Linked DNA regions of Mus musculus. The protein of the gene in region 3 purifies or fractionates together with the protein of the main gene of each other region. This does not show direct contact. Links are inferred from orthologs where the notes say so. Each region holds a gene or a part of one and is shown on either strand. Other genes may lie near its edges.

What was found.
Region 1: the proteins of Hnrnph1 (region 3) and Hnrnpa3 fractionate together in Homo sapiens (co-fractionation; 3 studies listed by BioGRID and IntAct, with this or other methods). This does not show direct contact. The link is inferred for Mus musculus from reciprocal best matches to the Homo sapiens genes HNRNPH1 and HNRNPA3.
Region 2: the proteins of Hnrnph1 (region 3) and Hnrnpa2b1 purify together in Homo sapiens (affinity purification with mass spectrometry; 5 studies listed by BioGRID and IntAct, with this or other methods). This does not show direct contact. The link is inferred for Mus musculus from reciprocal best matches to the Homo sapiens genes HNRNPH1 and HNRNPA2B1.
Region 4: the proteins of Hnrnph1 (region 3) and Ilf2 fractionate together in Homo sapiens (co-fractionation; 3 studies listed by BioGRID and IntAct, with this or other methods). This does not show direct contact. The link is inferred for Mus musculus from reciprocal best matches to the Homo sapiens genes HNRNPH1 and ILF2.
Region 5: the proteins of Hnrnph1 (region 3) and Fus purify together in Homo sapiens (affinity purification with mass spectrometry; 4 studies listed by BioGRID and IntAct, with this or other methods). This does not show direct contact. The link is inferred for Mus musculus from reciprocal best matches to the Homo sapiens genes HNRNPH1 and FUS.
Region 6: the proteins of Hnrnph1 (region 3) and Tardbp purify together in Homo sapiens (affinity purification with western blotting; 3 studies listed by BioGRID and IntAct, with this or other methods). This does not show direct contact. The link is inferred for Mus musculus from reciprocal best matches to the Homo sapiens genes HNRNPH1 and TARDBP.
Region 7: the proteins of Hnrnph1 (region 3) and Hnrnpm purify together in Homo sapiens (affinity purification with mass spectrometry; 3 studies listed by BioGRID and IntAct, with this or other methods). This does not show direct contact. The link is inferred for Mus musculus from reciprocal best matches to the Homo sapiens genes HNRNPH1 and HNRNPM.

The regions. Positions count from the first base shown.
Region 1 is NC_000068.7:75,662,093-75,665,802, forward strand, and holds part of Hnrnpa3 (heterogeneous nuclear ribonucleoprotein A3), read left to right. Parts: coding exon 1-14; intron 15-394; coding exon 395-484; intron 485-568; coding exon 569-664; intron 665-752; coding exon 753-833; intron 834-1,478; coding exon 1,479-1,622; intron 1,623-2,935; coding exon 2,936-3,058; intron 3,059-3,141; coding exon 3,142-3,194; 3' UTR 3,195-3,209; intron 3,210-3,305; 3' UTR 3,306-3,710. UniProt on the Homo sapiens protein: Plays a role in cytoplasmic trafficking of RNA. Binds to the cis-acting response element, A2RE. May be involved in pre-mRNA splicing.
Region 2 is NC_000072.6:51,466,973-51,471,232, forward strand, and holds the start of Hnrnpa2b1 (heterogeneous nuclear ribonucleoproteins A2/B1), read right to left. Parts: upstream 2,874-4,260; 5' UTR 2,705-2,873; coding exon 2,699-2,704; intron 455-2,698; coding exon 419-454; intron 324-418; coding exon 213-323; intron 81-212; coding exon 1-80. UniProt on the Homo sapiens protein: Heterogeneous nuclear ribonucleoprotein (hnRNP) that associates with nascent pre-mRNAs, packaging them into hnRNP particles.
Region 3 is NC_000077.6:50,376,157-50,380,543, forward strand, and holds the start of Hnrnph1 (heterogeneous nuclear ribonucleoprotein H), read left to right. Parts: upstream 1-1,521; 5' UTR 1,522-1,646; exon of another isoform or gene 1,647-1,702; intron 1,703-2,079; exon of another isoform or gene 2,080-2,134; 5' UTR 2,135-2,174; coding exon 2,175-2,271; intron 2,272-3,311; coding exon 3,312-3,467; intron 3,468-3,664; coding exon 3,665-3,808; intron 3,809-4,387. UniProt on the Homo sapiens protein: This protein is a component of the heterogeneous nuclear ribonucleoprotein (hnRNP) complexes which provide the substrate for the processing events that pre-mRNAs undergo before becoming functional, translatable mRNAs in the cytoplasm.
Region 4 is NC_000069.6:90,475,030-90,479,185, reverse strand, and holds the start of Ilf2 (interleukin enhancer-binding factor 2), read right to left. Parts: upstream 2,986-4,156; 5' UTR 2,946-2,985; coding exon 2,941-2,945; intron 2,182-2,940; coding exon 2,122-2,181; intron 1,867-2,121; coding exon 1,824-1,866; intron 1-1,823. UniProt on the Homo sapiens protein: Chromatin-interacting protein that forms a stable heterodimer with interleukin enhancer-binding factor 3/ILF3 and plays a role in several biological processes including transcription, innate immunity or cell growth.
Region 5 is NC_000073.6:127,966,088-127,970,404, reverse strand, and holds the start of Fus (RNA-binding protein FUS), read right to left. Parts: upstream 2,927-4,317; 5' UTR 2,841-2,926; coding exon 2,828-2,840; intron 844-2,827; coding exon 819-843; intron 689-818; coding exon 534-688; intron 1-533. UniProt on the Homo sapiens protein: DNA/RNA-binding protein that plays a role in various cellular processes such as transcription regulation, RNA splicing, RNA transport, DNA repair and damage response. Binds to ssRNA containing the consensus sequence 5'-AGGUAA-3'.
Region 6 is NC_000070.6:148,616,927-148,620,636, reverse strand, and holds part of Tardbp (TAR DNA-binding protein 43), read left to right. Parts: coding exon 1-45; intron 46-1,282; coding exon 1,283-1,453; intron 1,454-1,845; coding exon 1,846-2,376; 3' UTR 2,377-2,931; coding exon of another isoform or gene 2,932-2,987; 3' UTR 2,988-3,001; coding exon of another isoform or gene 3,002-3,069; 3' UTR 3,070-3,710. UniProt on the Homo sapiens protein: RNA-binding protein that is involved in various steps of RNA biogenesis and processing.
Region 7 is NC_000083.6:33,647,364-33,651,073, forward strand, and holds part of Hnrnpm (heterogeneous nuclear ribonucleoprotein M), read right to left. Parts: intron 3,035-3,710; coding exon 2,232-3,034; intron 1,502-2,231; coding exon 1,450-1,501; intron 1-1,449. UniProt on the Homo sapiens protein: Pre-mRNA binding protein in vivo, binds avidly to poly(G) and poly(U) RNA homopolymers in vitro. Involved in splicing.

The DNA.
Region 1 (3,710 bases), on a different chromosome or scaffold from region 3:
TGATAAAATTGTTGGTAAGTAACAATTTATTTGAGTTTCGTTTTCATAAATCATCTAAGTCAGTGGTTCTCAACCTTCCTTATGCTGTGACTCTTAATACAGATACTCATGTTGTGAACCCCAACCATAAAATTTTCATTGCTACTTCATAACTAATTTTGCTACTGTTATAAATCCATGTATATCTGATAAGCAGGATGTCTGTGACTCAACCTATAGGCTGAGAACTATTGATCTAGATCAGGAAACATTTCTAAAATATTGACTCATTCTCTTCTCAGTCTACCATCTTAATAATATTTTAATTAATTGCATGGTGATAAAGGGTTCACTTTAACATGGTTTTCCAAACAAAAAATAACTTTTCTTTTGTTTTTGACTTAAAAAAATATAGTTCAGAAATACCACACTATTAATGGGCATAATTGTGAAGTGAAAAAGGCCCTTTCTAAACAAGAGATGCAGTCTGCTGGATCACAGAGAGGTGAGTAGGCTCAGATACACATAAACAGTGGGCATGAACAGTTGTGGGAAAGATGTGAACTTTTCACTCCAATTCTTGTTACAGGTCGTGGAGGTGGATCTGGCAACTTTATGGGTCGTGGAGGAAACTTTGGAGGTGGTGGAGGAAACTTTGGTCGTGGAGGAAACTTTGGTGGAAGAGGTAAGGTGTTCTCATTATATGTGCTGATCTATCAAATTTACTAGTAAGTTGAAAGTGAAATTTTAATTCAAATCTTGCATTTCCTTAGGTGGCTATGGTGGTGGAGGTGGTGGCAGCAGAGGTAGTTATGGAGGTGGTGATGGTGGATATAATGGATTTGGAGGTGATGGTGAGTCTTAAAATGTTGAACTTGGTTATTTTTAATTTCTGCATTGCTGGGAATCACAAGGCCTCAAATGCTAGGTGGTAGGACATACAACACATGTGGTAGGCGACATGTTTTGGTTTTAACAACCACATTAAAAATGTCACACCTTCTAATTCCAAAACTTTGAATAGGTGAAATACTTTTCTAACTAGTACCACAGACTAGGAAGCCTCTTTCCAAAGATGGAAGTCAAATATTAGTTAGTTGTCCTTGGCTTAGTAGAGTAGGATTTATTGTACCAGAAATAGAACTAAAATTTTCCAAAGTAAAATTGAAAACTGACTTTAAAGGAAAGAGGGCCAGGTGTGGTGGCGCGCGCCTTTAATCCCAGCACTCAGGAGGCAGAGGCAGGTGGATTTCTGAGTTCGAGGCCAGCCTGGTCTACAGAGTGAGTTCCAGGACAGCCAGGGCTATACAGAGAAACTGTCTCGAAAAACAAAAGAAAGGAGGATGCTAATATTAAGATTTTTTTAACCGTCAAGATTACTTTGTGCTCTGTGACTAGATTCTAGAGTGTGAAACTAGGTCTTGCCACTTACAGTATATAATAAAAAGTTAGAATTATTTGGTCCCCCTGAACAACTTTCTATGTGGTTTTCTTTGCAGGTGGCAACTATGGTGGTGGTCCTGGTTACAGCAGTAGAGGAGGTTATGGAGGTGGTGGACCAGGATATGGAAACCAGGGTGGTGGATATGGTGGTGGAGGAGGAGGCTATGATGGTTACAATGAAGGAGGAAATTTTGGTGGAGGTAAGTTACATAGATGTCTGGATTAAATGCAAACCAGCGTTTAAATTAAAATTCCTTGCAGTATGTGGAACTGCTTTAAAAGATAAGCTGAAATAAAGTTAACTGTTACAGCTCTACTGTAACACAGCTTATCCATGTGAAATTTACAACTTAACCCTAACTAGTCATTATTTTTAACTTGTGGGAATATAGCACTACATAAATTTCACATTTGAAGGTGAGTGTGCAAGGGGGGGGGTCCTTTGAATTCCAGGTTAGTCTGGATATTAGAGAAGAAAAGTGAAGGTTTCTATTGTACAACTCAATGGTTTTTTGTTTTTTAAAAGATTATTTGAGTAAAAGGTTTAAAAGTTTATGACTGCAGCTGTCCAGACACACCAGAAGAGGGCATCAGATCAATTGTACGTGATTGTGAGCCACCGTGTGGGTGCTGGGAATTGAAGTCAGGACCCTTAACCACTCAGCCCATCTCTCCAGCTCCCAATTCAATACTTTTAAGAATATTCACAGTATTTTATAATGCTCATCACTAGTCCCAGAACATTTTCGTCAACTCAAATATAGGACCTTATTTTATTTAGCCCAGCAAGCCTCGGGCTACATTGGCCTCTGGCTTTGTTCTTTCTTGGACCCACCTCCCGAGTGTTGGGACTGGATTTAGCATGCTAGGCATTTGATTTTTAAAAATTGTTTTGCAGTGTCTGTAGATACTGCAAATTGGCAAGCTTTACTGTTTATTTAGCATAGTGAAACGTACATTTACTAGTTTAGTAAATTAAAAGAGAAGTTTTAAATTTTGGCTTATTGCTGAGATTTCCTTAATTCTTGGTGAATGCAATGCCAAATCAGCTTTTGGAATACATTGGATATTACTGTATTATTATCTATTGATAAATACTGCTTATATACTAACTGTACGGTGGACTGTACACAATTATTGCATGTAATTTACAGGAGAAACTTGAACCTAATTGATGTGAGTGACTGACATTAACATACCTTCCGTTACTGCTTTAAAAGTTGCATCAAAATCACAGCAAATACTGGTCTAAATGATGTGGCAGGAATAGAAAAGTGGGTGTTTTTTATGTATGCTAAAATTTGATAAGCGTCTTAGAAGTAGACAGATTCCACTTACTGGTCCCTCTTTACCTGTTTATTAGATCACTTAGGCTTCTGATAAATGGAGTTTAGTACCTAAAATTGCAATTGATGCTTGCATGAAAATACGTATAATACTTGCTGCCATGATGGTCCGAATAGTTACAGTGGTATTATTTTAGAAACTACAAATAAGATCTTTGTCATTTCAGGTAACTATGGTGGTGGTGGAAACTATAATGACTTTGGAAATTATAGTGGACAGCAACAATCAAATTATGGACCCATGAAGGGGGGCAGTTTTGGTGGAAGAAGCTCAGGCAGTCCCTATGGTGGTAAGTCTTTTTAATCAAAAATTTTCAGAGCCATCTTGGTTAACATATTCCGTATATTCAGAACTGTTATGTGTTATTTCCAGGTGGCTATGGATCTGGAGGTGGAAGTGGTGGATATGGTAGCAGAAGGTTTTAAAATAAAACAGAAACGGTAGGTATCTTTATATTTTTAAAAATAATGATAAAAAAGAATATATGGAACTGTTCACTGAGTGTAATAATTTTTTTATCCTATATTATTCAACAGGCTACAGTTCTTAGCAGGAGAGAGAGCGAGGAGTTGTCAGGAAAGCTGCAGGTTACTTTGAGACAGTCGTCCCAAATGCATTAGAGGAACTGTAAAAATCTGCCACAGAAGGAACGATGATCCATAGTCAGAAAAGTTACTGCAGCTTAAACAGGAAACCCTTCTTGTTCAGGACTGTCATAGCCACAGTTTGCAAAAAGTGCAGCTATTGATTAATGCAATGTAGTGTCAATTAGATGTACATTCCTGAGGTCTTTTATCTGTTGTAGCTTTGTCTTTTTCTTTTTCTTTTCATTACATCAGGTATATTGCCCTGTAAATTGTGGTAGTGGTACCAGGAATAAAAAATTAAGGAATTTTTAACTTTTCAATATTTGTGTAGTTCAGTTTTTCTACATTTTAGTA
Region 2 (4,260 bases), on a different chromosome or scaffold from region 3:
GCAGCGTCAACCTCGGCCATGGATGAGAAAGTTACAAAGCCAAATCCTCTTGATCTTTTGCTTGCAGGATCCCGCATAACCTTTAAATCCAAAAGATAAGCATTTAATTTCCCGGCATTAGGTAGCAATATAAATTAGAATGTATTGATACTGGTATTCCCTAGTATTCACACCCAAACATACAGCCAGACTTTCAGAGTTAACGTACGTACCACACAGTCTGTGAGCTTTCCCCATTGCTCATAGTAGTTTCTCAAACTTTCTTCTGTGGTTTCAAAGCTTAAGCCACCAATAAAGAGCTTTCGGAACTGTTCCTTTTCTCTCTGCAAAGGGAAATACCATTTCAATTTTTATTTACACTTTCTTTGTATGCAGGAAATTAAATTCTTAAATATGAGGTGACCTGCTGGTAGAGTACCTTTTTCCTCTCCAAAGGAACAGTTTCTAAAGTTTTCTGGGGGGGAGAAAAAAAACTTACATCAAATTTAAACCATATGTTAAACTGCATATTAGTTGTGTTACACCAAAAATTGCCTGAGCTATACAAGTTTCAAAGTCACTAATATTCGATCTAACTTCTAATTCACGTAAACTTTCTTAGATTTTCTTCAAAAAAATTCAGAAAAACCATACCCAGCTCTTAGGTCATTTAAAGGGTATTAAAGAATTCTTTTGTAATTCATTAAATTCTACAACCCAAGTCCAAAATTTACTACTTTTTAGATTTAAAAAAAATTTAAAAAACCTGTTTCCAAATTCACCACTTCCAAGATTCAGTTTCTGAAAAGTGGCATATTTGCTTTTCCCTGAGCTGCCCCCTCTGGTGTTAATTGTAAGTATCTCAAGATGAAAAAAAAAAATCCTGCAACTCTGAAACAAGCTCCATGAAGAATGCTGAAACTCCAGATATCACCTTAAATCTGGTTTTGTCAGGCACTTAATACTGGCTTTCCAATAGCTAAGTACAAAAACTTATCAAGATGTTCATAAATTAGGTCATACTATCCAGGACCTATGACTGCACAACGAAATGAAAAAGCAAAATTATAAAACAAATCCGTTATTTTACTGTATAGCCTAAATTTGTAAGTTTCTCCAAAATGTGCTCAAAAAGCCAATGTTTACAATTTTTAGGTTTTGAAATGTTTAATAAAAACGACCAAAATTGTTTTAAATAGTCAAAATAGTTACAAAAGCCTTAATCAGGACTCCAAATAGTGTTTCTGGTAGCTCTACTAAAATGTCAGTAAATTGGCTTTCCTTAAACTAAGTTGCAAGTATTAAATACACCTTGTTTTTTCATATCACTAACGAAAGCAAAAGCTCTTTACTTACCTCGGGTTTTTTCCAAACTTACCAGACGTCCACTATCGATTATAAACAAGGTTATTTTATTTATAAGTGTGCTTAGAGTCAAAGAAAATAACCAAGGAGACCCCTTTCAATTCGAAAGCTAATGCTTATCAGTGTAATGATGCATCATAATTTCAAACAAATAAAAAATAAAAAAACCGAATGACCACGCTCAAACACTGTGACCCCAAACTAAGTTTTTATATAGCCAGGACGTGGATTTTCGTCCACTGAACCAGGCTTTAAGCGAAGGCTAACTATGAAAAGTCAGCTATTTCACTTCCTTAAAGTGAACACCACGTGCTAAGGATCCGTTGACTTTACCAACAAATTCGAAGATTCCCTTAAAAATGCTTATAATTTGAATTATTTCGATCCGAGGATCCTTTAAGCAGATAAAAGTTCTGCAATAAAAGGAAAGTAACCCTGCACTCAACATAGCCTCCCTAGCTTCCTGATGAGCGCTCCCATTTTTTCCACTTTGACTTCCTCCTACTATACTAATGCTCAAGTGCTTTACTACAGCACCCGTAATCTTACGTATTATGAAAAATAAAACGGTCTCTTTGCAGCGACGCTGCCTTCAGCCACCCGCCCAGGCCTCGGTTGTACTACGTTCTCTCTGCCTGTTCCAGTAAAGCTCGTGGAGCGCCGCCACCCCGCCCCCACCCCGCGCCTCGGTGGCTTCAGAAAGCAATGGCGCCATTTCGTCGAGGGGAAGGCAGAGAGCCTTTAGCGAGGTGCGCAGGACGCTGAAGACCCAAGCTCAAAACGCTAAATCCACCTCGAAACGGTATGAAGACTTCCAAAAGAAAGGAAAATCGCTAAACACGTCTACGCAGTGGTGAAAAAAGAAAACCAAACTAGTAAACCTAAAGCGTTGAAAGCAAAATCGTGGCGAGGAAGGAGACGGGAAAATGGCGGCCGCCAAATCCGGTTCCCGGGAGAGGGGGGAGGGGAAGCTTCGCAGACTCGCTCCGGGAAGCCGGGGGGGCCCCAGAAACGTTCCGCCGCGAACACAACCGAGCCCCTAGGCCCGCGCACATCGAAAGGCCAGCGATGGCCCGCTCACGCGCTACTTTAGCGGTCCAGCCCGGTCGCGGCGGGCACTTCCCATCCCCCACCCCAACTGAGGGAAATGGCGCCGGGCGGCTGAGGGCGGGGAAGGCGGTCGGACAATCAGAGGCCTCCTCCAACGACCCCTCAGAAACTCGCCAAGGCCAACCGCCACTCGAGTGGCCGCATCCCCTCCGCCGGACCACGGAGGCGGGTGGCCGGTTTCCATTGCGGTGCCTACGGCCTCGCCATGCCATTTTTAATAACTCATTGATTTCAAACCCGTTACCTCCATCGCGGACTCAGTCGCTTCAGCCCGATTTCCCGCAGCCGAGCGAGATGAGAAAGACCTCCGCGGACGGACGCGCACGGGACTCGTCCTGGCGCTGTGGGGAGAGCAGGCGATGGCCAAGAAACTGGGCCGCAAAGGAGCTCCTGCACACGGGACCGGCGCCGCTGCTACTGCCGCTGGAGCCGAGACCGCCGCTTTTCTAGAACCTTCCCCCCACTAACGCGTCTCCGCTTACGTCACGCCGTTACGTAAACGCCCTAACCGCCGCCAATGGCGGGAAGGGCCTACACTCTCCTTACGCCAAGTACGTGACACTCCCCCTTTAGGTACAGCGGGACTGCTTTACATCACTTGCGCAACTGTGTTCCGTGAATTGCGGAAGGCTCGCGCTCGGCGTGTTACTACGTCCGGAACTAGGTCCGGCCCCCACCTCCGCGTAGGGAGCGGAGAAACGGTCGCGCAGTTTGAAATAACGCCGTCGGGAGGGGCTTAGGCCGGCGCTGGGGCGTGCGGCCCTCTCCACCCAAGCGTGCTCTCTGCAGCTACGCCTTTGCCAAGCCCGTCCGCACAAATATTCTCGAACCACACAAATATTTCTACACGTCCCAAAGGGGTTCTCACTCGGTCCCTCCCAGAAGGACTTTTAGTCCAAGTACCACCCCGGATGCCACAAGCCTTGGGATCCCGCGCCTAGTGAGAGGTGGTGCTTAAAGAACCCCGCTGTTTATCTCCCCGGCCTTCAAGATCCGGGCAAGGAGGTGGGTGGAGCCCCGCTTTGGCGCGCTCCGAGACGCAGAGAGGCCTCCGCGGTCCTTCCTGCCCGCCTTCCCCCCCCTCCCCCCAGCCAGGAGACCCCCTGGGCGCCACGCCGCGGACGGTGAGCATTGCGCGCGCCGCCCCCCGCAGGACGCGTTCCCGGCGGGCCCCGCGCGGCCAGGGCGTGGGCGGTGCTCCCCCTCCCCCCCGGCGGAGCTGCCCGCGCCCCCTCCCCTCGGATGTGGCTGAACCGAAGCGCGCAGGCGGGAGACTCTGCAGGATCCGCGGCCCTGAGCATCGGAGCGGTGAAGTTCGTGCCTTTGCTTTTTTTCGATCTTGCGTGTGGTGGGGTTTAGGATGCTCCGTGCGTCCGAGCTTGCGGGGAGGCTGCGAGCCCCGTGGGCCGCGGGCTGCGGGAAACCGGCTGGGGCCTCGCTGAGGCGGGCGCCGCGCCGGTGCGTGGGGGAGATGGGACAATTGTGCATGAGGGTGGGAGCCGGATGACAGCTACCGAGACTCCAGACAAAGCGCGGGCCTCCCCTCCCCCAGCCTCGTCGCAGGCCCGCAGGGAGAGAGCGGTTCAGGCTCTGCAGCTGCGAGGCCCGAGGCTCCGGGCTGCGGCGCGCTCCCGGCTACGTGGCCGCCGCCGGATGGGGGAGGCGCGGGCCCGTGGCGCAGTGCCCTTGAGCCCCCGCCGCCGCCTTTGTTTCTCCCCGCGGAGGCGCTGACCACGAGGCCCGCGCTCTCGGGTGGGGGACGGGCTCCCGACCGGGGAATGGAGCTGGGAAGGAGCCCTCCTCGGA
Region 3 (4,387 bases):
ATCAATCTCATGTCCCAAGACCATGTAGGGGGAAATATACATGTTAAGCAAGCTCTCTACCACTACTATTTCTCTTGTCTTCTTTTTGAGACAGGCTTTCAGTAAATTTCCCAGGCTGCCTTGAACGCACTCTGTTGCTCAGGCAAGTCTTGAAGTTGCAGTTCTCCTCGGCTGGGCTTGTGTTCTTGCCTTTCACCCACCTCCTGGCCTGGAGACTTGGGAGTTCTCACTTTTCGATGATCTAAACTAGTGTTTTCTGTCTCCTCTAGATAGATCCTTTGCAGGTGAGGTCATGTGCAGTTATTCTCCCAGCCTGTCTCATCCGAGTTTCCCTTACACCTGAAGGTTCACGTTACACAGCTCCTGTTGCTCTCTTGAAGTCTTGTGATGCCCTTCTACTTAACACCCTTGCGCAGACTTAAAAGGTCTGAGTTCTGCACGCAGTCTCTGCACCTTTCCTTTGATGACACCCCCCCCTTTTAAAAAACAAACTGTTCAAACTGGATTTAGCCTCCTCAATGTTGCACTTGAAAGAAAAGCGTATTTTTGCCTGTAACCTCTTGTGATGGCTTTCAGAGGCTTACCAATTGTGGTACCTACCGTGGCACCGCCCAAACAATAACTCTTATTGTTAATTTCTAGGGTAGGTCAGTCAGATTCGGAGAAACTCGGGACATCATCCGTATTCTGCTATGTTGCAGGAATTCTCTTAAACGTCACCCATTTACCTCTGTAAGGGCACACGGGATGACCCGGGCGTGTCTCCACCTTGGGAGAGGCCCGTTGGTCGGTCGGGCGCAGCGCTCTGGGGCTGCGTCCTTCGCGCCCCTGGCAGTCTCAGCCTTCCCTCGCGAGGCGCCGCACACCGAGCGCCTCTCGTGCAAGGGCGAGGGGTTCGTAGAGTGCGAGTCCGTTAGGCAAAGTGGGGTACAGGACTAGCTCGGGCACTGGCAGCCCATGTGGGTCGGGACTGACCCCCTAAAGCGGGCAGGTAAGGGGACTGGTCCCAGGCGCCCCACGGAGATCGGGGATTTGGGCGCAGGGGGCGGGGCGGTACCCAGAGGAGGTTTGGCACAACCCGGCCCTCCAGCTCCTACGCGTTCTGAGGAGAAAGGGCATGGCTTCCTTTTCTTCGTGGTGTCTTTCAAAACCGACAGGAGCGCGGATGAAAAGCTGCGGATTAAGGGTAGAACTACCGCCCCTGCAAACCTGAACGAACTCTGGATTACTACCCAGTCCCTGCGGGGAGCTGATTAGCGCCATTCCCCTCCCCCACTCCGGCGGGTAGGTCTAGAGAACGGTTTGAAGGTAGCCGCATGCGCATTAAGTAAAACAAGAAACCGCTGAGACGCCAAGCGCAATAATTGCAAAAAGGCGCAGGCGCAGAAAGAAAAAAAAAAAACAACCAAAAACACCTCGGTCAGTTTATGAAGAGGGCTGAGCCCAAACGCATGCGTGTAATAATAGGACGGCGGGAGAGAGCTCGGGGTTTCTTAATACGCATGCGTCCAATCTCTCTGTGACGCAAGTGGGGCGGGGCCGGCAACAGGGTGCGCGTGCGCAGAGCTTGCTGGAAGGGCTTTATTTAGCCTGCGCAGGCGCCCGCTTATCATTTCTCCTCAGCCACGCCGAGGCTTTTTGTGGAGGTGAGTGACTTTCCGTCTTCGACTGCTGCCCGAGCTCTCCACGGACACCTCTTTGGGTGACGATTGCTTGTCGCTGAGCTTAGGTTCTAACCTGAGGGGCCGTGGCAGGCGCAGGCTGCCCCTGGGAGCCGCGAGTGTCTCGCCGGCGTGGCAGCGCCGCCTAGGCCTGCAGGCCGCGCCGCTTTCTATTGTGTGAGATGTCTGAGGAGGCGGAGCGGAAGCGGCGGCCGCCATTTCCTCGTCTCAACCGTGGCTGTGGGCCAGGGTCTTATTAGCTTGGCGCCTCGGCCCTGGGCGCACTGGGCGGCTTTGGGCATCGGGTCGCTAGCCGAGGCCGGGTTGCATGCTTGAGTCTCCGGGGCCCAGGCATCCTGACGGGCGGGACTCGCATGGCGGCGCCCGGTGCCCGCTGTGCGCCGTGAAGTGGGAGGGCCATTTAAATGCCTGTTTTCTCAGACGCGTTCCTGACCCCCACCCCCACCCCGCAGCCCCGCAATCTGTGTGGACGCCAGGACCACCGAAGGGACGATGATGCTGGGAGCAGAAGGCGGAGAGGGCTTCGTGGTGAAGGTCCGGGGCTTGCCCTGGTCCTGCTCCGCGGATGAAGTGCAGCGCTTTTTTTCTGGTGAGTTGAGGCGGGAGTTGTCAGTGGGGCCCGCGGCTGGGCCGGGCCGGGCCGGGTTGGGGCGGGGCGGGTCTCCCGGGCGCCCCCTAGCGAGTCGCGGCCACCAGCGGTTTCCCCAGGCGGCTCGCGCTCTGTTGGCCGCTGTTACGCAATGGTAATTGCGAAATCCGCACCCCCCCCAACCCCCTTGGGGATGCTGGTGGCCCTGCTGAATTTGTTTTCTTTTAAAACTTTTTCTGTCTCTATGCATCAATCTGTGCATTCTGGAGTAGTCTAAGAAAAATTTAAGTAGGGAAAGATGTGATTTCTTCTCAAGTCGTGTAAGGTTTTGTAAAAAGGTACTTGTAGTGTTGACCTTACCATCTGAATTTAGCTGTGGTAACAGAAAACGATCTGTAAATCGAGCCCCAAGTATACTGCAAGCAATTGCAGGGGGCCGTTGCCGTCCGGGTTTGAGTTGAACTGCAGCTTGGAGCCTTTAGTTGTTAACATTGGTCCCTTTTCGGATGAATATTGAGCTGGAGTTTGGATTTGAATGAAATTGTTATGTGGTTGCTGATAGAGGGAAGCTGACATGGTACCCAAACAAGAAAATGCTGTGAAGTCACCAGATCCAGATGAGATTATTCTGAGATAGTGTACCAAGAGATGGTTAATGGAAACTTAGAGGCAAGGTGGTAGCTTCATTTGAACTTTTTTTTTTTTTTTTTTCGAGACAGGGTTTCTCTGTGTAGCTCTGGCTGTCCTGGAACTCTGTAGACCAGGCTGGCCTCGAAATCAGAAATCCGCCTGCCTCTGCCTCCCCAGTGCTGGGATTAAACGCGTGCGTCACCACTGCCCTGCTCCATTTGAACTATTTTTGAGCATTGAGTTACCTTGTTGGACTAGGAATATATCCTGTATATGAGATAATTTGATCGTGTTCTGCTTGGTCAGTCTTTTTAGGCATGTTTTTTTTTTTTTGGTGTGTGTGATGACAGGAATATGCATTTTATCTGTAGTGGTTTTAAATCCTGTATTAAGCGTTGTTTTCTTTTCAGACTGCAAAATTCAAAATGGGGCTCAAGGTATTCGTTTCATCTACACCAGAGAAGGCAGACCAAGTGGCGAGGCTTTTGTTGAACTTGAATCAGAAGATGAAGTCAAATTGGCCTTGAAAAAAGACAGAGAAACTATGGGACACAGATATGTTGAAGGTTTGATTTACATTGCCCTAGTAACAGTAAACGTTTAAACACATAGAGGTCTTACCCCTTCTGAATTTTAGGTATTTGACCGCATGGAAATGGTCATCTAAGGGAGTTTATGGCAGCTCTTCCTAGTTATCTAAAAGCCCAGGAAATCTGAACTTTGTTCTCCAACTTAATTGACTAATTCTAAGCACCTCTTTCAGTATTCAAGTCAAACAACGTTGAAATGGATTGGGTGTTGAAGCATACTGGTCCAAATAGTCCTGACACAGCCAATGATGGCTTTGTACGGCTTAGAGGACTCCCTTTTGGATGTAGCAAGGAAGAAATTGTTCAGTTCTTCTCAGGTATGTAGTCCTGTTTGTTGCTGAGCAGTGAGGTATGGCAGCTTCTGGCGACATGAATTAGTATTAGTAGACCTTTAAAAAGTTGAATAGTCTAGGTACTTAAAGTAGGCTGTTGAATATATGTTGTTGAATTCACATTTTCTTCCTGGAGACCTTCAAATAACTTAAGCCCATCTTAAAGGTGGAAATTAGAAGTATTTCCAAAGTGTTAACTTTGCCTATATTTAGTATTGTAGTTCAGAGTAGACCTTTGAGGATTCTACTCAGCCATCTTAACTTCCTCATATTGCTGTTTAGCAAAGTACTTCAAGTTAAAGGTAAGCTCTTTTAACATTAGATTAGTGTGAGTCTAGATTGTTACAGTTTATGGTGTTATAACTTATTTTCCGTCATGGGACCAGAAATATTTTAGCTAGTGTAATTCTCTGTATGAAAATTGTTATGAAAGGAACTTGGCTTAGGTAGCCTATTAGAAGTCAAAAAAGTAAATTGTAGCAAGTGTAGGTTGAATGCTTGTAGTCTCAATATGAAAGCAGTATAGAAGTTTTTGAAGTTGTTCTGGGCCTAAAGTATTTGAAT
Region 4 (4,156 bases), on a different chromosome or scaffold from region 3:
CCAGGGCGTGTGCCACCACACCCAGCTAAAATAAATATATCTTAAAAAACAAAAAACTAGAAAAGTCTACATTTAATTTTATTTTCCCCAGGGACCATTTCAAAGCCAGTACACCTTACAACACTTGTTTTCACCTCCTTCAGATGTTCAAGTCCAAATGCAAACCTTGTTTTTCTGTTATTTCTTTTGAGACGGGTCTTATATAAAATCACAGGCTGACCTGAACTTGCTATGTAGCTGAGGATGACTGTAATCTTATCTTCCTGTGTCTTCCTCCTTTGTACTTAGATTATTAGTGCGTACCCTCATACTGATATATGAAATGCTCTGGGCTCTGTGCATGCCAGTCAAGCACTCTACCAACTGAGCTACAACAGCAGCCTGAGTACTCATTACCTTTATATAAAAAGAAATAAAGGCCCGGCAGTGATGACCCTCATCTTTAATCCCAGCTCTCAGGAGGCAAAGGCAGGCAGATCTCTGTACATTATAGGCCACCCAAGGCTGTACAATGAAACCCTATTTACACACACACACACACACACACACACACACAAACAGAAATTACCCAGAGGCCAGAGAGATAACTCAGCAGGTGAAGAGTATTTGCTACTCTTGCAGAGGAACCAGATTTGATCCCTAGCATACCCAAGGCAGCTCACAACCTCTGACAAGTCACCTCTTCTAGCCTCCAAAGGCACCAAGCACACATATGGTAAATATTTATATAGGCAAGTACTTTATACATACACATGAAATTTTTTAAAAAAGCAAGCCAGGTGGCAGACACAAGTGGGTTTCTGAGTTCCAGGACAGCTAGGGCTACACAGAAAAACCCTATCTAAAAATCCAAATATAAATGAAGAAAGAAAGGAACTGATTATAACCCATCCGCCATGTAATATAGTACACACTTTTAGAACTGTGGAGGCAGAGACAGGCAGATCTCTGATTTCCAGGCCAGCCAAGGTTATAGATACAGACACTGTCTCAAAATAAATAAGTCCTAAAAATTATTTTTTAAAAAGACATTTTTTAGACAAATATTACAATGAAACTGTAAAGGAATTATTTTTCCTACCTTGCTGACTCTGTTTTCTATGTTTTGTTTTTGTTGAGACAGTTCACTCTAGTAACCCAGGCTGACTTTGAACTCTGAACATGGTCCTACTGCTCAGGCTTCCATTTCTGGGATTACAAAAGGATTACAGTCTCTTTAAAGACTGACTGGTGAACTGGCTTGTTTTTTTAAATATTTATTTATGTGTATGTGTGAGTGCCACAGTGAATGCATATGCATCCTGTGTGCATGAGCCTGTGGAAATCAACAGGGACATAAGATCCTTGGAAATTAGAATTACAGACAGATGTGCACCGTTATGCAAGAACTGGAAAAAATTTGTAGCCTCCACTAGAGCCATGTTATACCTGTAGCTATACCTATAAGTAGATAGTGACATATAATAAATACAATAATAAAATAAAATTAGGTGTTAGGGATATAGATCTAACATGTTCAAGGTCCTGGGTTCAAATCTCTAGCACTCATACTAAGTAAATAAAAATTTACACCAGATGTGGGAATGCATGACTGTAATTCCAACATTCAGGAGGTTGAGGGAGGAAGATGGTGAATTTGCAGTCAACTCAGTAAGTATTCATAGAGTTCCAGGCCAGCCAATCATACAGAAGACCCTCACTCAAACAAAGAAAAGATCCACTCTTGAATCCTACTCCAAACAGTATCTGACTCCATTAACAAGGGGGCTCCATTTCTACACCTATAAGTGAACAGGAAAGTCCTCCAAAGCCAAAATACTCACCAAATAAAAATCAAATGGGATATGGGGCACAAAAGGCCTGAACCTGAAACATGAAAACAACCCAAAGTTATTCAAGCAGAAAGCACAAGAGAGGTACACAATGCACCAACCAATTCTGTCTTAAGAATTGGAAAAGTTTCTGAGCTGTATCATTCTTAGCAAAAGGTCAAATCCACTTAGTAGGACATCAGGAAAAGAAATGCTTTTCGTGACTTTCATGAAATGAAATAGAACAATCTACTCCAAACCCCTTTCTACTGAAACAAACCAAGGCAAAGATGCAAACAGCCACACTCACCCTCCACCAGGCCCTCCTCTGGAACCAAAGCGCCCACCACGACCACGTCCTCTGTCACCCCTAAAAATACATACATTTTACTCTCAATTCGCTGAAAAAGGTCTCCATCACACCATCAATGTTATTTCAATTTGACTTACCTTGACCGCCTCGAACTACAGAAGTGGATAGATATTTCATGCTCTCTTCTCCCAGATTCCAAATGGTGCCCAATGACATCCTAATTCTGGACTTTTCCTTTTTCTTGTTTTTGAGACGGAATCTCATGTATCTCCTGCCTTACCTCCCAAGTGCTGTGAGTGCAGCTTTCGACACCACACCCCACTTCTAATTCAGGATTTTATCAAAACTCACATCAGGAAAATACGAGTTTCAGAACCTGATATACATACCCCTACTAAGGTAACCTACGATCGTGAGGCACACCAGTCCTAATATGCACAGTAAAGTGACTTATCATTTATTAATACAGCATTAACAGTTACGAGGCATGTACTATTGGTCAAACACTAGGTACCAGAAAATTGCGCAACGCTCCAGCCTACTTATTGCGCACGGAGGGAGATCTTCCTGGGCCGTTAAGACCTCTCCTCCATCCCCTCCCGGCCCCCGAGACCCAGGTATCAACACAACTCCCCCTGCTGGGCCCCGACCCCCTCCGGGCCCGATTCCCGGAGTCCGCCAGCCTCCTCCTGCTCCACTCCCCCGCGGTCAGGCTTTCCGCCGGCCGCCCAGATGCAGGCCCTTGTTCCTCCGACTCCATTTCAGCCAGGCCCCCGAGACTTCGGCTGGAACTTTCAAGCACCTCTGTCCACTTACCTCATGGCTCGCTTAATCCTGAACAATGGAGGCCACACAACCGCTCTTCGCTGGGAAGAACTAGGCTGGCTGAGAAACGTCTGGCCGGCGTGTCCCAACAAACGCCTGCGCGATAGGCTCCCGCCTCACTCCGTCCCGCGCGTTTATTGGTTAACGCAGCAACCAATGAAAAATGCCCTGTAAAGGAGCCAGCCAATAAGAAGACATAACAGGGATGAAGGCAATTTTCCCCACTGACAGCGGAGGGCGTTCAGAAGTTGAGGCGGTGAATGGTAAGCTCTTCTATGGAAAAGAAGAGAATGCTACCAGTGGGTAGCAGAGTGGCGCAGCGGAAGCGTGCTGGGCCCATAACCCAGAGGTCGATGGATCGAAACCATCCTCTGCTATCGGAGGCTTTGTTTTTAAAATTTTGACAATCTAATTAAATTTTCCTTTCCATAACAAGAAATACAATTCTTTTTTCTTCTCCAACTTTTTTTTTTTTTTTTTTTTTTTAGATAGCGTCTTTTTCGGTCATCCTGACTTACATAATACTCGTTAGTGTAGCCCGAGCTGTCATCAAACTCAGCAATCTCCAGCGTGTGCCGCCTCACCTGAAAACATAACTTTTACCTTATGGAAATATGAGAAATAACTTAATTCCACTTACCACCACTATTCCCTCGATAGCATTACTATTATATGATTCTTTTTATTGAAAAAAATTCATACAATATATCTTTTTTTTTTTTTTTTTTTTTTTTTTTTTTTGGTTTTTCCGAGACAGAGTTTCTCTGTGTAGCCCTGGCTGTCCTGGAACTCACTTTGTAGACCAGGCTGGCCTCGAACTCAGAAATCCGCCTGCCTCTGCCTCCCGAGTGCTGGGTCATACAATATATCTTGATCACATATTTCTCTTCCCCAGTTCCACCAGCTCCTCCCCACTTCGCTATGTTAGGTGATTCTGACAAGTATTGGTGTATTACTTACTTTCGTAGGCATATATTCCTTTCAAGTAACCTAACTGCACCTTCATTAAAATAGGGAATACTTTATCGTGTTAGCAAGGTGAGTCAGCAGGTATAATCGCGACAACCTGAGTTCAACCTCTGAGACCCACAGTGGTGGAAGGAGAGCAGCGATTTCTGCATTTTGTTCTCCGACCTCACTATAAAGGTTGTGGGTGTGGTGACACCCATAAACACAACATAAATATAACAGAATTAAAAAAAAAAAA
Region 5 (4,317 bases), on a different chromosome or scaffold from region 3:
ACAAACTGCATTTTAATCTGTTTTTGTTTTTTTCAAGACAGGATTTCTGTGTAGCCCTTGGCTGTCCTGGAACTCACCTTGTAGACCAGGCTGGTCTCCAACTCAAGATTCAAGAGATCTACTAGCCTCTGCCTCCCAGAGTGCTGGATAAAGTTGTGTGTGCCACCACTCCTGGCCCTAACTACATTTTAAATGTGCTGATATGGAAAGAAAAATGTTTTGCCCTTGTGAGGTAAAAATGGCACCACCTCTGTGAATCACAGATTGTCAGCCAACTTCAAGAATTCCCAAGCAGACCATTTCCTTCCTATCCGTCATTCTAAACTGGTTCTCTCTTTAGCAAACTTGCTTTTTCACAAAAATAGTAAGCAGGAAGAAAATAGTCCAATATAAAATCAATTACAAATCAGTATTTTTGTTTTAAAAGAATGACTACAAAACTTTAGGGAAAATGTGGGAATTTCGGTATTGTTCAGGTTTAAGAAAAGTTAACATTCATAAAGAAATGAAGATGTGTTCTACTAAGAACTCACTGTTTTGGGTCTGTCCATAAGAAGAACCATAGCTGCTCTGGCCGTATCCTGAAGTGTCAGCTGACTGGCCATAACCACTGTAACTCTGTTGGCCATAGGGCTGACTGCTCTGTTGGGAGTAGCCCTGCCCAGGCTGGGTAGGATAGGCCCCGTAGCTACAAGAAAACAGACCAGTAATCTTCAACTAAAAGAATAAGAACAAAAGCATACAGAAATACATAAAACTCAAGTTAGATCAATCACCCTTGCTGTCTTCTAGCATCAGACCAGAAACAGTATACTCACCTTTGAGTTGCTTGTTGGGTATAGTCTGTAAAAGATGGGAAAGAAAAAGGTCTTAATTTTAGTTAAGAATAGAAATAAATTCTTCAACTTTTGTACTAGGCACTCCAGATGAAACAAATCTACAAAAACAGGCATAAGTTAGTTCCTCATGAGACAAAATGGCCAAGTTTTATTACAAAAAGCAAAGAAAGCACAAATTTCTAGACACCAATAAGTCTTAGACTTTTGTTCTGGGTAGAACCCAGGGCTTGCTTGGGACCCACTAAACAAGCGACCACTAAGCATGACAGCCACAGAGCTCTGTGGGTGGACTGGTTCTCTATCTAGAGGCAGGGTTTCTCTGCATAGAACTCACTCTGTAGACCGGGATGGCCTCCAATTTAATACATACAAAGCTCCATCTGCCTCTGCCTCCCAAATGCTGGGATTAAAGATGCCCCACATCGGACCGGGCGTGGTGGCGCACGCCTTTAATCCCAGCACTTGGGAGGCAGAGGCAGATGGATTTCTGAGTTCGAGGTCAGCCTGATCTACAGAGTGAGTTTCAGGACAGCCAGGGCTACACAGAGAAACCCTGTCTCGAAAAAAAACAACAACAACAAAAAAAAAAAATCCAACATCATGTCCTTTTTGCCTTTTTTCTTTTTTGAGACAGAAGTCTCGATTATGTATCTATCCCAGAATTCAATATGTAGACCACCTCGAACTCACATAGATCTGCCTACTTCTACCTCTTAGTCCTGAAACTAAAGGTGTGTGCCACCAAACCTGGCTCAATCTTTAAAAAAAAAAAAAAAAAAAAAAAAAAACTCAAAATACAGATCATCCCTTAAGTTTAAAAATCCTTTTGACTTGTTGCAGGTCTTTCCAAGGCCTGCAACACACGTCACCACATTTTATATCTTCACAGCAGCTCTGTATACAGGAAAGGTGGTATCACCGGATGTCAAGATTAACTTTGACAGTCAGCGCTATTACACAGTTGAGTTCAAGCCCAAGGAAGCAGCTAGAAGAATGGGACTCTCCAACCCCCAAATGGCATGGTGCTCCCAAGGTTCCCGACGTGTGGCTCCAAATAACTGAGCTCCCGCCTACCATGCGCACCCAAAGCAGACAGCACTTTCAACAATCTGGGAAGCTGTAGCTCAGCAGCTCCCTGCAGGAAACCCAAGCTCTACCCCCGCACTGGGACAAAACTGACAGCGAGAGGGTGTGGCCTCGGAGAGCGACTCCTCTGATTTCCTTCCGGCCTTAGGAAAACTCAACTCTGAAGTGGGAAACTCAGGCCGGGGTCCCTGACTCCGTTGGTCATCCCCTGGCGGTCCTCCCAATCCCACGGACACGCAGGCCAGCCAGGAGCTTCCGCTCCCGCTGCGCGGCCACGGAGGCGGGAAGAGGTGGCCCCGCCCCTTCCCAAGGGACCCAGCGAGCAGGGCGAGGCCAGCACCGGACCACAAGTCTTCCGCCGAGGGTCTCGCGACAAAAAAAAAAAAAAAAAAAAAAAAAAGAAGAAGAAAGAAAGAAAGAAAGAAGAAGAAAGAAAAAAAGAAAAAAGTAAAAAAAACGGACCAACTCCTGGCGGGGGGGAGGGGGGCCGCGGCGAGAAGGGGGAGGGGCCAGAGGAGCGCGTGCGCGCACCAAGTGCCCGGATGCAGCACTGCGACAAAGCGAGGCCGGGAACGGAGGGAGGGGAGGGGGTGGGGCGAAGCTGCGGAGACCCAGAGCTCCCTCACCCCGGTCACCCCACGTCGCCAGGCAGCGTCTCTCTCAACACTCGACTCAAGTGACCGGGCCAGGAGAGAAAACCCACGGTCTCCGCGCCAAAGGCGCCAGGGGAGCCAAACAAAATGGCGACACCGCCCTCCCCTTCCCTCCACCCGCTGCTTCCCGCCAGAGGTGGGGGAGCCCACTCGCCCGCCACCGCAGGCCCAGCCGAAAGCCAAAAGCCTTGCTGCGAGGGAACGAGGCCTCGCAGGGACGCGCCGTCGCCGCCTCGCGCTCCCACATACCGTTTGAAGCCATGTCCGCGCACGCGCGCAGCGCAGGCCGCCAAGCAACAAAGTTCCAGACGACCGCGAAGCGATGCCGCGAGGACTGAGCGGCCCCGCCTCCCGCGCCCGCCTTAAGTACGCCTGCCGCCTACGCGCCACCGGGACGTACCAAGTGGAGAAGCGCGAGGGGGAGGCACGCCCAGGTCCCCACCCTTCCCCGGGGATACGGAGAGCTCAGGAAGACAAGAGGGAAAACGAACTCGCTTTATTCCCAAACACTCGCACGCGCTTTCTCCTTGCGGCCGGTGGCTCTCGTCCGTCGCCCGGGGCTCGCCTTCGACACACCTCTACCCCACTAGAGGCAGAATGGTACGACCCGGCCTCCCGCTAGGGGCGGTGCCAGGGCCCTGCGCCCGAGAGCGGAACTGTGTAGTCAAGGCCTGGAGTCTCCGGGTGTGGGAACCGAAATCCTTCCGACCGGCCCAGCGGCTGGGCCCCACTTTCACTGGGGAAGATGCAGCATACTTTCGCTTGCCCTGGCCTAGCAACTGAGTCGAACGCAGTGTCGCTCTGGTCCTCCACATTCTCTCCTGACAGACAGCACACTGATCAGTCTCGTTTTTCACTTAGGAATGCCTCGGCTTGCTGTTCTTTAGACCTTAACAAGGTTTATAGATTGTGACGTTTAACCTGGAAGAAGATGAGCTTTAGTCTGGACCCTATGGCCCTAAGGCTGGTTCAACAATAACACATATGTATACAACTTAAGAGGCTTCAAACCCACAATTACCCCCCCCCTTTTTTTTTTTAATTTGGCCTCTCAGTACCGCTCAGTTGATCTCGAATCCTTGATCCTATTTGCCTTAGCCCTGTGCATCCTGGAATTACAGTCGTCCTGGTTTTCCCCCATCATCATCTTGTAAAGAAATCTGAGGAATGTAGCTTAATGATAGAGCGATCGTTTAGCCTGTGCATGACCCTGCCTACCTCTCCAGTCCCGGAGCTAGGCAGAGGTGGAGGGGAGATGGATCTTATGAGAGCAGTGAGCGGCTAGACTAAGAATGTGAATGAGGTACGAGGCAGTTCAGGGTCAGACCTTCTGATCTTTAAAGTCTAAGCCTGGGGAACTACAAAATGCTTCTTGGTTACAGGAAATGATTGAAAGCATTTAAAGGCATGAACACTTTTTGTCAGTTCAAGGACAAAACGAAATTCAAGGGGGTTGGAGAGACAGCTGCTCTAGAGAAACCACAGGTTCAATTCCTAGTACCCGAATGTGGGCAAACAACCAACTGTAATTCCAATACCAGGGACTCTGGGATCACAGAGATCAGGTAATTCATTTTGCAATGAGTAGGTTAGGATGGGTCTGAGGGAATGACATTTCTACTGGGAGTTTACCAAGTGGATAAGAACAAAAATGACGGGTTGGAGAGAGGGCTCAGCGATTAAGAGCACTGACTGCTCTTCCGAAGGTCCTGAGTTCAAATCCCAGCAACCACATGGTG
Region 6 (3,710 bases), on a different chromosome or scaffold from region 3:
ATGATAGATGGGCGATGGTGTGACTGTAAACTTCCCAACTCTAAGGTATCTTGCCCTGTATTTTGTTGGTTTGGTTTGGTTTTTGAGGCAGGGTTTCTCTGTAGCCCTGGCTGTCCTGGAGCTCACTTTGTAGACCATGCTGGCCTCAAAACTCAGATCTGCCTGCCTGTCTTCTAAGAGTTCAGATTAAAGGTACCACCCTGCTTACTTAATGTTGGCTTTAATGTTCTGGGGAACTTAATATTCATCTAGTGCTTTTCTGGGCAGCATTTGAACACTTAGCCACATCCCCAGCCCGAATTCATTCCATGCAAGCAAATAAGGCTGACTTGGAACATTGTGTTTTGGCTCAAAGAATACTTTCATAGAACTTTATTTAAAAGGACTGAGGAGATAGGTTCATTTGGTCAGTAAAGTGCTTACCTTAAATATGAGGGTCTGCACTTGATCCTAGAGCACACATTTTTATTTATATTGAGACAGGGTTTCTCTCTGTAGCCCTGGTTGGTCTGGAGCTCAGTATGTGGACCAAACTGACCTCAACTGCTCTGCTTCTACCTTCCCAGTGTTGGGATTTAAGGCCTGAGCTACCACACCGAGCCAGACCCAAATTTTTGTGGTTTTGTTTTGTTTAAACAGTTGGGTGTGATAGCAGGTACTTGTAATTCCACTCCTGGGGAGAGGAGGCAGGTGAATCCTTGGAGCTTGCTGGCCACCAATCTAGCCAAATTACAAGGCTCAGTGAGAAATCCACCTTCAAAAGAGAAGCAGGGCTGACTAATAGCATCAACCTCTGCCCTTTTGTATAATGGTCTCTCAGTGTATAAAACAAGTTACAACTGAGCATGATGATGATACATTCCTGTAATTCTCGAGTTTAAGGATATTCTGGGGTTCATAAGAGCCTGTCTTTGAAATTCCCGAGGAAATGAGGCCGGCTGGCAAATAGTATTTGTTGTTCCTGGAGAGGATTGATTCCGTTTTTAACACCCCCATGGCAGCACACAACTCACTACAGTTGTGTGTGATTCTCTCCTGACCTTAAAAGGCATCAGACGTGCATGTGGCACAGGTAGATGCATGAAGGCAAAACCCTTTTTTAAATTCCAAGAAACCAGTCTTGTCAGTATACACCTTTAATTTCCATCTGGGGTGCGGGTGTGTGTACAGGCCAGGCAGTAGTACACAGTTAGCCTCATCTTTAGAAACAAAAACACCCAAGACGGGAAGGCACTTAAGTATGCATTGATGTGTTTACCATCTCCTGTTCTCTCTTGACCAGCAAAGCCCAGACGAGCCTTTGAGAAGCAGAAAGGTGTTTGTTGGACGTTGTACAGAGGACATGACTGCTGAAGAGCTTCAGCAGTTTTTCTGTCAGTATGGAGAAGTGGTAGATGTCTTCATTCCCAAACCATTCAGAGCTTTTGCCTTCGTCACCTTTGCAGATGATAAGGTATATTTGTTGGTCATTTGTCCCAGGGCTGGGAATGGATCTGGTTTAGTGCTACTGTATGTGCCCAGCATGGTACACCAGGGGCTGCACTCAGTCTCCAACACTGAAAATGATAAGTGAATTGTTCAGCAGATTGCCACCTTCCCTTTTCACAGAATAGAGAGTAGATTTAGATAGTTGTAAGATGCCCTTCAAGTGTTTGTCATTATTTGGATTTGGGGGCTATTACATACTGCTGCTTAACATTACTATAACTAAAGGCTGCTGGTTGGGTTTAAGTAAATTGCCTGTTTTTCCTCCTCCTTAGTTGGGTTATATTAAGATCTGGGTTTTACTGCTGTGTTGATATCTGGGTTGATCTAATCATTTATTTATATCCTTGTTTCTTACAGGTTGCCCAGTCTCTTTGTGGAGAGGATTTGATCATTAAAGGAATCAGCGTGCATATATCCAATGCTGAACCTAAGCATAATAGCAATAGACAGTTAGAAAGAAGTGGAAGATTTGGTGGTAATCCAGGTGGCTTTGGGAATCAGGGTGGGTTTGGTAACAGTAGAGGGGGTGGAGCTGGCTTGGGAAATAACCAGGGTGGTAATATGGGTGGAGGGATGAACTTTGGTGCTTTTAGCATTAACCCAGCGATGATGGCTGCGGCTCAGGCAGCGTTGCAGAGCAGTTGGGGTATGATGGGCATGTTAGCCAGCCAGCAGAACCAGTCGGGCCCATCTGGGAATAACCAAAGCCAGGGCAGCATGCAGAGGGAACCAAATCAGGCTTTTGGTTCTGGAAATAATTCCTACAGTGGTTCTAATTCTGGTGCCCCCCTTGGTTGGGGGTCAGCATCAAATGCAGGATCGGGCAGTGGTTTTAATGGGGGCTTTGGCTCGAGCATGGATTCTAAGTCTTCTGGCTGGGGAATGTAGGTGGTGGGGGGTGGTTAGTAGGTTGGTTATTAGGTTAGGTAGATTTAGAATGGTGGGATTCAAATTTTTCTAAACTCATGGTAAGTATATTGTAAAATACATATGTACTAAAATTTTCAGATTGGTTTGTTCAGTGTGGAGTATATTCAGCAGTATTTTTGACATTTTTCTTTAGAAAAAAAGAGGGGAAAGCTAAATGAATTTTATAAGTTTTGTTATATAAAGGGTTAAAATACTGAGTGGGTGAAAGTGAACTGCTGTTTGCCTAATTGGTAAACCAACACTACAATTGATCTCAGAAGGTTTCTCTGTAATATTCTATCATTGAAATTGTTAATGAATTCTTTGCATGTTCAGAGTAGAAACCATTGGTTAGAACTACATTCTTTTCTCCTTATTTTAATTTGAATCCCACCCTATGAATTTTTTCCTTAGGAAAATCTCCATTTGGGAGATCATGATGTCATGGTGTTTGATTCTTTTGGTTTTGTTTTTAACACTTGTCTTCCTTCATATACGAAAGTACAATATGAAGCCTTCATTTAATCTCTGCAGTTCATCTCATTTCAAATGTTTATGGAAGAAGCACTTCATTGAAAGTAGTGCTGTAAATATTCTGCCATAGGAATACTTCTGTCTACATGCTTTCTCATCCAAGAATTCGTCATCACGCTGCACAGGCTGCGTCTTTGACGGTGGGTGTTCCATTTTTATCCGCTACTCTTTATTTCATGGAGTCGTATCAACGCTATGAACGCAAGGCTGTGATATGGAACCAGAAGGCTGTTTGAACTTTTGAAACCTTGTGTGGGATTGATGGTGGTGCCGAGGCATGAAAGGCTAGTATGAGCGAGAAAAGGAGAGCGCGTGCAGAGACTTGGTGGTGGAAAATGGATATTTTTTAACTTGGAGAGATGTGTCACTCAATCCTGTGGCTTTGGTGAGAGAGTGTGCAGAGAGCAATGATAGCAAATAACGTACGAATGTTTTACATCAAAGGACATCCACATCAGTTGGAAGACTTTGAGTTTTGTTCTTAGGAAACCCACTTTAGTTGAATGTGTTAAGTGAAATACTTGTACTTCCCTCCCCCTCTGTCAACTGCTGTGAATGCTGTATGGTGTGTGTTCTCCTCTGTTACTGATCTGGAAGTGTGGGAACGTGAACTGAAGCTGATGGGCTGCGAACATGGACTGAGCTTGTGGTGTGCTTTGCAGGAGAACTTGGAAGCAGAGTTCACCAGTGAGCTCAGGTGTCTCAAAGAAGGGTGGAAGTTCTCATGTCTGTTAGCTATTCATAAGAATGCTGTTTGCTGCAGTTCTGTGTCCTGTGCT
Region 7 (3,710 bases), on a different chromosome or scaffold from region 3:
GCCAGTCTAGAGCTACCTGGCAAGGCCCAGGCTCAAAAGAGAATGATAAGACAGGAGAAAAAGAGAGGGAAAAGTATCTCACCTGTAATCCCAGCCCTTGGAAGTTGGAGGTAGAAGAATCAAGAATTCAAGGTCACTAAGGATGCAGCTCAGTGGGCACAGTGCTTTGCCTAGCATGCATAAAACCCCTGGGTTGAACCCCAGCATTTGTACAAACCAGGCAGGGTGGCTACCTCTGTAATCCAAGCATTCAGGAGGTAGAAGACTACAAGTTCAAGGTTATTTCTAGCTATATAGTGAGGGCCATCTGAGTTTTAAAAGGCCCAATCTATATCCCCCCCCCCCCCGTCACCCCCCTCCCCAATACAACTAAGAGTTTAAGGTCATTCTTGATTACATAAGGACTTTGAAGCCTATCTCAAAAAGAGAAAAGGGGGAGGAAAAAAGCAAAGGGGCAGAGAGAATTTTCTGGCAGGAAAGCAGAGGATATACCTGAACATATAACTCATGTTCAAGGGCAGGAGAGAAATGTAACCAAGTCTGCAGAATCTTTTGAGTTTGAATTTTCTCAGAAGTGGGGAGAGTGACACATTCCATTCCCAGTTTTTGGAATATCTAGTTACAATATTGACTGTTGTGAAAACTGCAACTCAGAGAATCACGGGACTAGGAAAGATAGTTGGCTTTGACTCTACAGCTTATCCCAAAGAATCAAGGAACACACCAAGAACATTGGAATGTGAGCCATTTCTGCATGAGGAAACAAGAAACAGGTGTCTTGATCCAGCAGCCACCCACATCTTGGTTTAGCTGAGAAGGTGCAATGCAAGCAGGGGACGACTGCATCCTGGTCATCAAAGAAGCTTTCCAGAAAGGTTGCCTCGTGTTAAGAATCCACAACCAGACTTTCACCCCATACTGTGTGCTCAGACCTACAACTGCTAAGCATGAGTTCCCGAGGAACCAAACCAGCTATGAGTTTAATGGAGGAAATCAATTTTTCTTAAATTTACTTTTTTTGTGTTTTACAAGTCTGTGACCGTAGGAATACTGCTTTGCTGACTCTTATGTAAAAAGATGACAACACTGCCTCCTCTCAGAAACTCTGAAAAAGCAGGAGTGGTAGCATTCACCTATAGTTCCAGCAAATGCAAGGCAGAGGCAAGAGAATCATGAACTTGAGTTTTGCCTAGGTTATAAAGTGAGAGTCTGCTTCCAAAAACTAACTAGAAAAGAACTGCAAGGATGAAATGAGCACACAGCATGACACATACCAGGACACCCAACAGCTGCCTGTACACCTGCAGGTAGAACAATGGCAAGGCCCATGGTCGCTCTGGAGCCCATGGACAGTGGTGGGTAAGACTAGGAAAGAAGCTCCACTGCTCCAACTCAGCAGCATCACCAAGCCACGACACAGGAAGCACAGAGAGCCTGTTACACACTTACCACATTCATTGAACTTGTCCTTTAGCATCTTCCATGTAAAATCAAATGGGAGCTGAGGAAAAAAAGAGGCAGACTAATCTGTGATACAACAAAGTCTTAATGTACAAACATTCTACTAGATACGAGAATATGACTTGAAGGCACTTGGGCTGGAGTGCAGCTTATGGGGTATACAGTGATTTGCCTAGTGTGTGGACAGCCCTAGATTGAACCCCCAGTAATCCCTCAAATCCTCACTTGCTGACCTCAAGACAATCAGCAGGGAACAAAACAAGTCTATGTAGAACTAGGCTACTAAGTGGCACAACTCACAATCTGGTGACAATACGTAACTCAAGCACAGCTACCTTTCTCAGAATCACTGTGCCAAGGCTGAAGTGCTCCTCAAGCCAGGGACCAGAAACCACAGACCTTTAGAGCTCAGTCTATTCCTCACCTGGCATATCACAGGCAATGCCAGGCAATTGTATTTTTGTTTCTTTGTATTTTGGAGACAGTGTCTCACCTGGTAGCTCTTTTTAGACTGGATCCCAGAGTGCCACTTCACCTTTGCCTCTAGAGTGCTGGAATTAAAGGAGTGGACCACCATGCCTGGCACTAAGACTACTGCTCTTCCAGTAACCCCTCAACTTCCAGTTCAACTCTGGAGATAGGCAAGCTGTATCACCCGTACTGCCCAGTTCTCCCTTCATCAAACTTCCCTCTCCAGTCTACATCATTCAGTCTACTGGCCTCCCCACTTCACAACAACCACAAGAAAATTCCACTAAAGAACCACTTACATTTCTCACAAATATCTGGCAGGCCTTCCTGGCTACTCCAGGTGCATGGCCTCCAGCTCCGCCAAAGGAACCTGCGAAGCTTCCTCCAAAGTTGCCCCGCTCCATCTCAATGGCTCGGTCAAAGCTAGCACCTCCGGCTCCACCCATGGCCAGGCCCATTCGCTCAATACCAGCGCCCAATGCTGGGCCCATGGCAGGGCCCATACGTTCCAGGCTGTTGGCGCCCATTCGCTCCAGGCCCATGCGCTCAAGACTGTTGGCTCCCATACGCTCCAGGCCCATGCGCTCCAGGTTGTTGGCGCCCATGCGCTCCAGGCCGGTGGCCATCCGATCCATCACAGGACCCATGCGCTCCAGGCTGGCCCCCATGCCTGTGGGCACCATCCGATCCATGCTTAGGCCCATGCGTTCAATGGCAGGACCCATGCGCTCTACACCAGAGCCCATGCGCTCAATGGTTTGGCCCACACGGTCAATGGGTGCGGCCATGCGCTCCAGGCCGAAGCCCATGCCGGCACCCATGCGCTCCACGCCAGAACCAATGCGCTCCATGGTCTGGCCCATGCGCTCAATACTGGAGGCCATGTGGTCAAGGCCTAGTGGGCCCATGCGCTCAATGCTGGAGCCCATGCGCTCAACTGAGCCCATGCGGTCCATGACCAGGCCCATGCGCTCAATCTCAGAGCCCACTCGATCCATGCCATGGCCTAAGCCTGCGCCCATGCGCTCCATGCCAGCACCGCTAATGCGGTCAATGCCAGGGCCCATCCTCTCGATCCCAGGGACACTGCCTCCAGCTCCACCTGAAACAGGAATAAAAAGCACAAGTAGAAGTCAGAGACTTATGTAGATGTTCATATACTAATGTGTGCCTGGCTGGGCACTTCAGATCCTAAGCTCAAATCAGGAAGTCATGCTCAAAGTAATTTACTATTAAAACAAAAACAAAAAAAAACCTCTTGAAAGTTTTCACATTGAAATCCACACAATCATCCTTTCCACTACATAGCACAGGTAAAAATTTCACAATAAAATTTAGAAGGAATAAAACTTCACCTCCATACTGGCTATGAGTTGTCATACTTCAATTTCTAAAAACCTTTGTAGTGTCCCCATCAGCAGACATTACGAATGCTCTTTAAAAAGCACAGAAAACTTCATACTCAGGGTAACTGACAGGAGACAATTCAAAGTTACTTACAACCTTCAAGTTGAGAGAACCTGTCCCTCTTAAAATGCCCTGCTGATGTCCACTATTGCTGCAATTCCTTTAGCACTTCTAGGGCACAAAATAATCACACAGCCATGTAAAAGATAAAACAAAAATGACCCTCAATATACACAAGCATACAAACTGATCATTTTCTGGAACCTTTCCTTCTATAGGGGAAATTGATAGCTACTTCATTGGCTTTGGAAGAAAGATGCTGACACCATGGCAAGTTCAATTCTGGAAGAGGCTAAGGGTCAGAGACCAGT